2 linked regions of the Schizosaccharomyces pombe genome follow. The gene in region 1 interacts genetically with each later gene. Each region holds a gene or a part of one and is shown on either strand. Other genes may lie near its edges.

What was found. Genes that interact genetically often act in the same process or in processes that back each other up.
Region 2: mutations in acp1 (region 1) and adf1 are lethal when combined (synthetic lethality), as found in Schizosaccharomyces pombe (2 studies listed by BioGRID).

What each region holds. Positions count from the first base shown.
Region 1 is NC_003424.3:4,582,752-4,588,005, reverse strand, and holds acp1 (F-actin-capping protein alpha subunit), read right to left. Parts: upstream 2,792-5,254; 5' UTR 2,752-2,791; coding exon 2,682-2,751; intron 2,636-2,681; coding exon 2,442-2,635; intron 2,378-2,441; coding exon 1,871-2,377; 3' UTR 1,470-1,870; downstream 1-1,469. Other genes in the region: til1 (tRNA(Ile)-lysidine synthetase family protein), read left to right, coding at 1-23, 69-556, 616-1,422; succinate dehydrogenase subunit Emi5, read left to right, coding at 2,981-3,273, 3,330-3,456; peptidase Icp55, read right to left, coding at 3,673-3,843, 3,888-3,995, 4,045-4,266, 4,310-4,387, 4,449-4,832, 4,872-4,999, 5,043-5,075, 5,124-5,137 and 2 more. UniProt on the Schizosaccharomyces pombe protein: F-actin-capping proteins bind in a Ca(2+)-independent manner to the fast growing ends of actin filaments (barbed end) thereby blocking the exchange of subunits at these ends.
Region 2 is NC_003424.3:4,824,757-4,827,629, reverse strand, and holds adf1 (cofilin), read left to right. Parts: upstream 1-1,503; 5' UTR 1,504-1,552; coding exon 1,553-1,555; intron 1,556-1,606; coding exon 1,607-1,712; intron 1,713-1,875; coding exon 1,876-2,180; 3' UTR 2,181-2,373; downstream 2,374-2,873. Other genes in the region: C-24(28) sterol reductase Erg4, read left to right, coding at 1-947. UniProt on the Schizosaccharomyces pombe protein: Controls reversibly actin polymerization and depolymerization in a pH-sensitive manner. It has the ability to bind G- and F-actin in a 1:1 ratio of cofilin to actin. Binding to F-actin is regulated by tropomyosin.

The DNA.
Region 1 (5,254 bases):
AAGGGTTGGTCACAGGCGGCTTGGTATGAACACTTTGTATTGTATCATAATTAAGACTAATAAGTTAGGGATAGCTGTGTCTGGGGGAGTGGACAGCATGCTACTTTCTTGGTTCATGAAGGAATCGCAAATTATGTTTGGATGGCCTAATCAATTTATTGCCTTTGTGGTTGATCATCGAATTCGTAAGAATAGCACTGAAGAGGCTTTACAAACAATCTGGAATTTGAATCGTATGTTAATACCAAATGTTTATCTCAACATCAATTGGGGTAATGATGATGTTCACTCTTTAACAAACCTTGAGACAATAGCTCGAGAGCATCGATATCAAGTTTTGACTAGAGCTTGTATTACACACAATATCAGGCATATTTGCACAGCACATCATGCCAATGATCAAGCAGAAACCATATTTATGAGATTGCTAAGACGTAAACCCGGAACATGGGGTGGATTGTGTGCAATGAAACCAGTATCGCAGATACCAGAATCTGACTCAATTTGTGGGGCTTCAAATATAGAACTGTTACGCCCATTACTTCCATATTATAAGGTAATATAAATTAAATTCGCATTGTGGATTAAACTTTTATGCTAACCTATGAATTGAAGAACCAAATATTAAATACCGCAAAACAACATGGAATTGCTTGGGAAGAGGATCCAACAAATGCTGATATAAATCTCACCCCTCGAAATGCAATACGAAGATTTCTAAACCAACATGCCGCATTGACCGTAGAGGCTACAAAACTAGCTACCGCGTTTCAGTCCTTACAGGTGAACATAGATAATAAAGTTGATGAAATACTAAAAGATAATATTGTGAGCTACCATCAGCCATCTGGTACATTATCTTTATGCTTTTCAAAAAATGAGCTCAAAAAGCACTCTAATCTTACTAAGGAAGAATTGCTCTTAAGGTGTCTAACATTGACTACAAGTTGCAGACAGATTAAACGATCTTCTGTTGTAAGCCTTTGTAATTCAGTTTTTGATGGAAAAAAGCTAACAATTGCTAAATGTCTACTCACTTCCTCTTCTATAAAGGACGACACTAAATTACAACTCCAAATTTCCAGACAACCATTTAGTAAAGCTGAATTGAAAAAAAAAACTATAACCATAAATCCTGATCGTTATGTTTTATGGGATCACAGGTTTTGGATAAAGTACAGTTGCAAAAATACACAGACTACACTTATACTTAGACCGTTGCTTTCCAAAGATCTAAATTCATTGAAGGGATTTTTGAGTAAGGAAGAGTTTCTTAAATTTTGTATACAAGTTCCGGGCCATATCAGGTTTACTATTCCAGTCTTGTCGGAAGAAAACGATAAGTTAGTTGGAATACCTACTTTTGGGTTTAATTTTAGAAGTGATATTATCTCAAACTGTCTACACAAGTTCAAGCTTTAATTGCTGCTTGAACCATGAAATCAATGTTAATTAGAGATACAAGATTTGTGATTTAATAATGCCTCATTATTTATTTATATTATCACAAAGTCAGAGGTGAAAGTCAGATGCTCAGAGCATATTCTGGTGATAAATAGCACGACTGATGCTTACACACAAAAAGTAATACGCCCTTAAATTACTGGTGACGAGCGGTAAAAAAATGATGAAGAACTTGTATTATTGATCGTAAAAAAATAATTTCCTAAAACTTATAAGAGTTTAAGAAAAGAGCGTGTGAGTTGCTCTTGTAAAGTTTTAGAAAGTAAACGACTAGTAATTATTAGTCGTATATCGAGCGACAATGTATATGTATTTAGGAAGAAGGAAAAGGAAACAGCTTGAATCACCGTCTTAAAAAATATCGTCGCAAAAAAATTTCCAAAATTTATAAACACATATAAGTGTTTCAAGTATTTCTCATACGGATGCCACTAACGTTTTCCCAATTAATTTTCTGGCGAGTGACTGGAAGTTGACGACGCAATTCTTTAAACTTTTTGTCATTAAGTGAAGAAAGTTCAACGTTGAAGGACTGTTGAATTCCATTTTCGACTTGAGCCAACACTTCATAAAGCTTACTGGTCTCCTCGACTGTAGCAGAAATAGGACGGGATGCATCCAACCAAACATTTCCGTCTTCATAGTAATGAACACGAATATGCGACCTGCCTTCCAGTTTCTTTTCCGAAACGTTGTAATTGCATATACAGCGCCACGAACCGTTCCAATAGTTCTTGGGATTATACTTTGAAGAAACCAAAACAATTGTAAACGATTCCACTTCATCGCTTTTTTTGATGATTCCAAATGTTACATCAGATAGATAGTGATCCGAAGCAACCTTTTTAATTTGCTTTACTATTTCATCGGGAATTTTTATGGCTTCGGTATAATCTTCAACGTTTTCAGCTTCCTATGAATACTGTTAGCTATTTAACAATTATCACAAAAAAAAGATTTGAAAAATTTAACCTTACCATAGTTTCATAATTAATGGTAAATGATTTCTGTAAAACTTGATCATAATAGCGATTGCCCTCTAGACGATTATCAGCTGAAATAATTACTTTTTCGTCATCCGATATGCTGACAGAAGAGTTGTAGTCTTCATGATAAAGCTTCAGTTGTTCGTGAATTGCTTCCTCATCACTTAGACCGATGTCGCGTATATCTATTATATGCATTAGAATGTTGAGGTATTCAGCACTTTAACAAACCATGAACTACTTGATTAACTTCTCCTGGAGGAGATTCTCTAATGAGTTTGTAAATTGCCTCCTTTTCCATCTTTCGAAATTTCTATAATGTGGTGCGGACAATGGTGAATGGTAAGAAACGAATACGGATGGTGAAGACAATGCCGCAAAACTATCACCAAAGAGTTGTATAGTCTACCAAATCTTCCAAAAAAAGGAGCTATAACCTAATTTTTTTTTCTTTTTATTCATATATAAGTAAATATAGCCTCGGAGGTCGTCTGGTTAATCGCTTAGTTGTTCATTTGAAAATATCAACAATGTTAAGGAAGACAAACTTATCTAATATCACGACGCTTCTAAGAAGTGCAAGATGTATGAATAGAATGCCTCAACTTCGCTTCGAGCATACCAAAGGTGATTTAAAAAGGGTGAATCGCTCTTACGAGACTAGAGACGCAATGTTGGCAAGACTTAAATATCAATCTAGAAAACGGGGAATATTGGAAACGGATTTGCTTTTATCTAATTTCGCCAAAGATCAGATTGATAAATATCCAGTATCTCTTCTGCGAGAGTATGATCAATTATTAGATGAGCCCGATTGGGATATGTAAGTAAATGAACTTGATATACTTAATGTGCGCTATTTTAACGTCCAATTTTTAGTCTATACTGGTGTTCAGGAGAAAGGGAAGCACCTGAAAAGTGGAAATCGAGTCAAGTCTTCAAGGAATTGAGCAAATACTGTCGAAGTCAGAGGAATCATACACTTCGAATGCCAGAACTATTTTGAAAACGTTTCTTGTTTCTCTAAACTAATGTTTATTTTTGACGTTGACTTTTCAATAAAATATTAAAAAAAAATTCGTGTAATGATTAAAATTTAACAGTATATATAGATTTTTTTCCCTTCAATCTTACTTCTAAGAAACTTAGTCCAAAAATAATGTCTTTTATTCTACGATAGTCAGATGTAGTCCTAATTCTTAGTCAATAGGTAACACAATCTCTACTTTTTCAAAGCTTCAATTTCTTCAATTTCTTTTGGAGCAGCACTAGTTAATACGAACGGCTTGTCATCACCAACGATTACGCTATCTTCAATTCGAATAGCTATTCCTTGAGCCCATTGAGGCCATCCGTCTTCTTCTGGAACATATAGTCCGGGTTCTATGGTAATCTAAACCCCGTTTAGCAAATAATCTGAAAAGAACTTCAACTTACAACTTGGTTTTTGCGCAACGGTTGGTAACCATTATTCGTAGAACAATCGTGAATCTCTAGTCCAATCTCATGCCCAATTGAATGCGGATACAATATATCTGTAATCTCCTATAGCCAAGGAAGTTAGTACGAATATTTTGCGAAGTAGCAAACTTACCCGTTTAGTTCCATGAATGCCGACCTGCTTCAATTCTTCATGCATTAATTTAACACTTTCAAAGTGAATATCAGCCAAGCTCCAGCCATTACTGGTGCAACAATACTTAATACATTTCTTTTGCACATTCAGAACTGCTTGATATAAATCCCTTTGTACAGTACTAAATTTGCCGTTGATGGGCCAAGTCCTCGAGATATCTGTTACATAACCACCGAATTCCTGTTAAGCAAGTGTTAATTGACAAAAAATTGAAGGCACTTACACCGCCAGCGTCTACCAAAACCATTTCGTCAGGACGGAATATATCATTATTAATTGTGTAATGGATAGTCAAGCCATTCTTCTTTGTTAATAAAGCTTAAAGTAATAGCATTCAGCATTTTCAGGAATTGATTACTTACTTTTCCACCTGCTACTACAGGCACATATGCGGATCTATCACAGCCTCCAATACAAAACCGATAATTGAATTCCGCGGACATTTCAGCTTCTTTCTCAAATCTTTTCCGCATAATTTCCCTGTAAACATTTGAACTTATATTGGCTGCTTCTTTCATGCACTCCAATTCAGCCGTACTTTTAATGCTCCTAAGCGGATGAAGAAGTTCATCTACCGACCTTTGGGTTGAGGTTCTAAAGAGTTTAGTAAGCGTATCTTGTATGAATTCAGGAGCGGATGCAGCTGGCATTTTTGAGAGGTATCCGGTTTGGTAATTATAAAAAATCCTATTCGACTTTTTTCCTAGAGCGTTTATAACCGAGGAAGCTAGACTAGAATCATAAACCTAATAATTAATACCTTAATAACAATATGTTCGGCTTACATTTTCTATTTGAAATAATTTTTTCCCAAGTGTTGAACCTGTTCGAAGTCCTTCCCATTTCTCTATGTATGGATTCTTCGATGGGAGATAAAGAGAACAGTCATAACTTCCACTTGCTCCATTTTTAACTTGGAAATTGTTAACATCGATTTGTTGTTGAGTTGTACTTACACATTAATAGTACAGCATTTGGTTCCAAGCAACCTTTATTCAAAGTTAAAAAATGAAACTAAAATTAATTCTTTCGATTACCAGTTAAATAATAACTACAACGTTAGCGATATCAATTTTGAAATCTTACAAATTTGGATCCTGGTGGTATTCATAGCTTCAAATTGTTAATTCGTGTTACCAAAAAAAACCTTACAAAGCTGCACCACACA
Region 2 (2,873 bases), 240 kb from region 1:
CAATTACTACATTTATCGACATGTTCGGTCCTTTGATGAGCGTTGCAATAATAACCGCTTTTGTCTGTACCTTTGTTTTGTACACTGGAACTTTGCTTTTTGGTGATCGACTTTTTGATAAACCTCATCGGTTATCTGGAAATCCCATCTACGATGCCTTTATGGGAGCTTGCTTGAATCCTCGCCTTGGCAAATTGCTTGATTTTAAAATGTTCTTTGAAGTTCGTATCCCTTGGTTTATCCTATTCTTTATTTCCGTTGGTGCTGCTGTTCGTCAATATGAAACTTATGGCACTGTAAGTCCTCAGGTACTTTTCGTTTGTCTTGGCCATTATTTGTATGCAAACGCGTGCTCGAAGGGAGAGCAGTTGATTGTTCCAACTTGGGACATGGCTTATGAAAAGTTTGGTTTTATGCTTATCTTTTGGAACATGGCTGGGGTCCCATTTACTTATTCACACTGCACCCTTTACCTTTTTTCGCATGATCCATCTGTTTACAACTGGTCAACTCAATATACAACCGGTATTTATGTTTTGCTTCTTTGCTGTTATTATATATTTGATACTTGCAATGGTCAAAAAAATCATTTCCGTAATCAAATTTATGGTACTGAGGTTCATCGCAAAACATTTCCCCAACTTCCCTGGCTTATCATCAAGAACCCTACCTTTATTCGTTGTGCAAATGGCGGTACTTTGTTGACTTCAGGTTGGTATAGGTACGCTCGTAAAATTCATTATACTGCTGATTTCTTTCAATCATTGTCATGGGCATTGATCACCGGTTTTCAGTCCCCTCTACCTTACTTTTACCCATGCTTTTTCTTTGTAGTCCTTGTGCATCGTGTTTCACGTGATATTAAAAAGTGCAAAGCTAAGTATGGGGCTGATTTCGATGAGTATTGCCGTATATGCCCTTACTTATTTATTCCCTATATATTTTAGAAATGTCTTTTTAGTCCCTTCTTTACTTAATAAATTGGCTATTCAAAATTCCACTTGAAGTGTTTTTCTACTTTAAAATTCAGTTAATTTTTGTGAAAGTTCTCAAATTTGATTGAGTAGCTGGAACATTCCTTAAGTTATGAACGAACAAAGTAAGCAGCTCTGACCGTTTTTTATACAATCTATTTCTAGACTTAAAAATTATTAACTTCCAAGTCTTTTTGCATAAAGATTTTTGGAAATAGCGTAAGGAATAGCTAATAAATAGTAACAATCATCTTGTTTCTTCATAGCGATCCATTTACAGTTAAATTTTTTTTTGCATTAGTTCACTCACTTGCTAGATATATAAATTAGTGTGGAATATTTAGGCGGTAGTGCATACGCATAACCATTTGCTATTATTTTTTTGTAGAACTGTATGTTTTTTCGCTTATATTTAATAAGGGTCATGCAACATAATAATAAGAAATTATAGACTCTGCTTGTTTAGAGTAGTGCGCCACCCTTACTTGGGGCGACGGTATCTACTGATGCGAGTAGCCCTCCCCTAACCAAACCAGTGCCAACCACACTAGCTTACCCGCTATCAGTAAATAAATAATATGGTATGAAATATTTTTGTTAACTTTACATCGTGTTTATTTAACATACATTAGTCTTTTTCAGGTGTCAAAGTCTCTCCCGAATGCTTGGAAGCTTTCCAAGAGCTCAAGCTTGGAAAGTCACTCCGTTACGTAGTTTTCAAAATGAACGATACCAAGAGTAAGTGACGAAAACGATTTAGATGGAATTTGAGAAAGTCCAATATCCCTTTTTTTAAAAATAAATTTATTTATCTACATTGATATATATTTTATGTTTGTAATGTCTTTCTATGTCGTTTTTATAATTATGTGGAACCTTTCACTAATTTTTTTTTGTTTAGCTGAAATTGTTGTTGAAAAGAAGAGTACGGATAAGGACTTCGATACTTTCCTTGGTGACTTGCCTGAAAAGGATTGCCGTTATGCTATCTATGATTTTGAGTTCAATCTCGGAGAAGGTGTTCGTAACAAGATTATCTTTATTAGCTGGTCTCCTGATGTTGCTCCCATTAAATCTAAGATGGTTTACTCTTCTTCTAAAGATACTTTACGTCGCGCTTTTACTGGAATCGGTACTGACATCCAAGCAACTGATTTCTCCGAAGTTGCTTATGAGACAGTTCTTGAGAAGGTTACTCGTAAGTAAAACACTTTTGGTTACGATTTCTTGACTCATGCGTAATACGAAATGAAATTAAATAACTTCGTTTCGGTATGCAAACCGATCCTTCAACGCTCCTTAAATATCTTTTTCTATATATTTAGAACTATAAATACAAAGATTTAAGTGTACGTTGGTTTCCTGTTGATATTTAATTTGTCAATAGTATATCTACTTTAAAAAATTTGTCATGTGATAACGGATGAGTCGGTATATGAAAAACACTGCAAGTTATTTGCCAATGTAATTGACAAGCAATCATAGAGAAATTAGTTCTACGCAGTTTCCACCACTAGCTGAAATGTTTGAGTGCCTGGGTGCTTGCAGGTTTTTATTCATCTACTTCAAGTATGGTATAGTAAGTAAGCTTAGTTTTATTTTCTCAGTTCCGACTTTTTAATTCTGTAGATTTCATCTACCACTATTTAGTCATTGAAATTGTTACAAATATTCCTCTATATATAATGATTCTGCATTCCTAAAAATGCTAATTAACAAATTACGAAATCCAACGATCTACAAAGTAATGCCATTCCATATTAATATAACAATTGCTGTTCATTCGCTATCATTTTAAAATGATGTTTTCATTAGTTTGCTCATTGATCACATAGCATGTATTTTACCAGCTATTTTCAACGTACTAGTCTACTTGATCTGTTATTGATCAAATGTAAG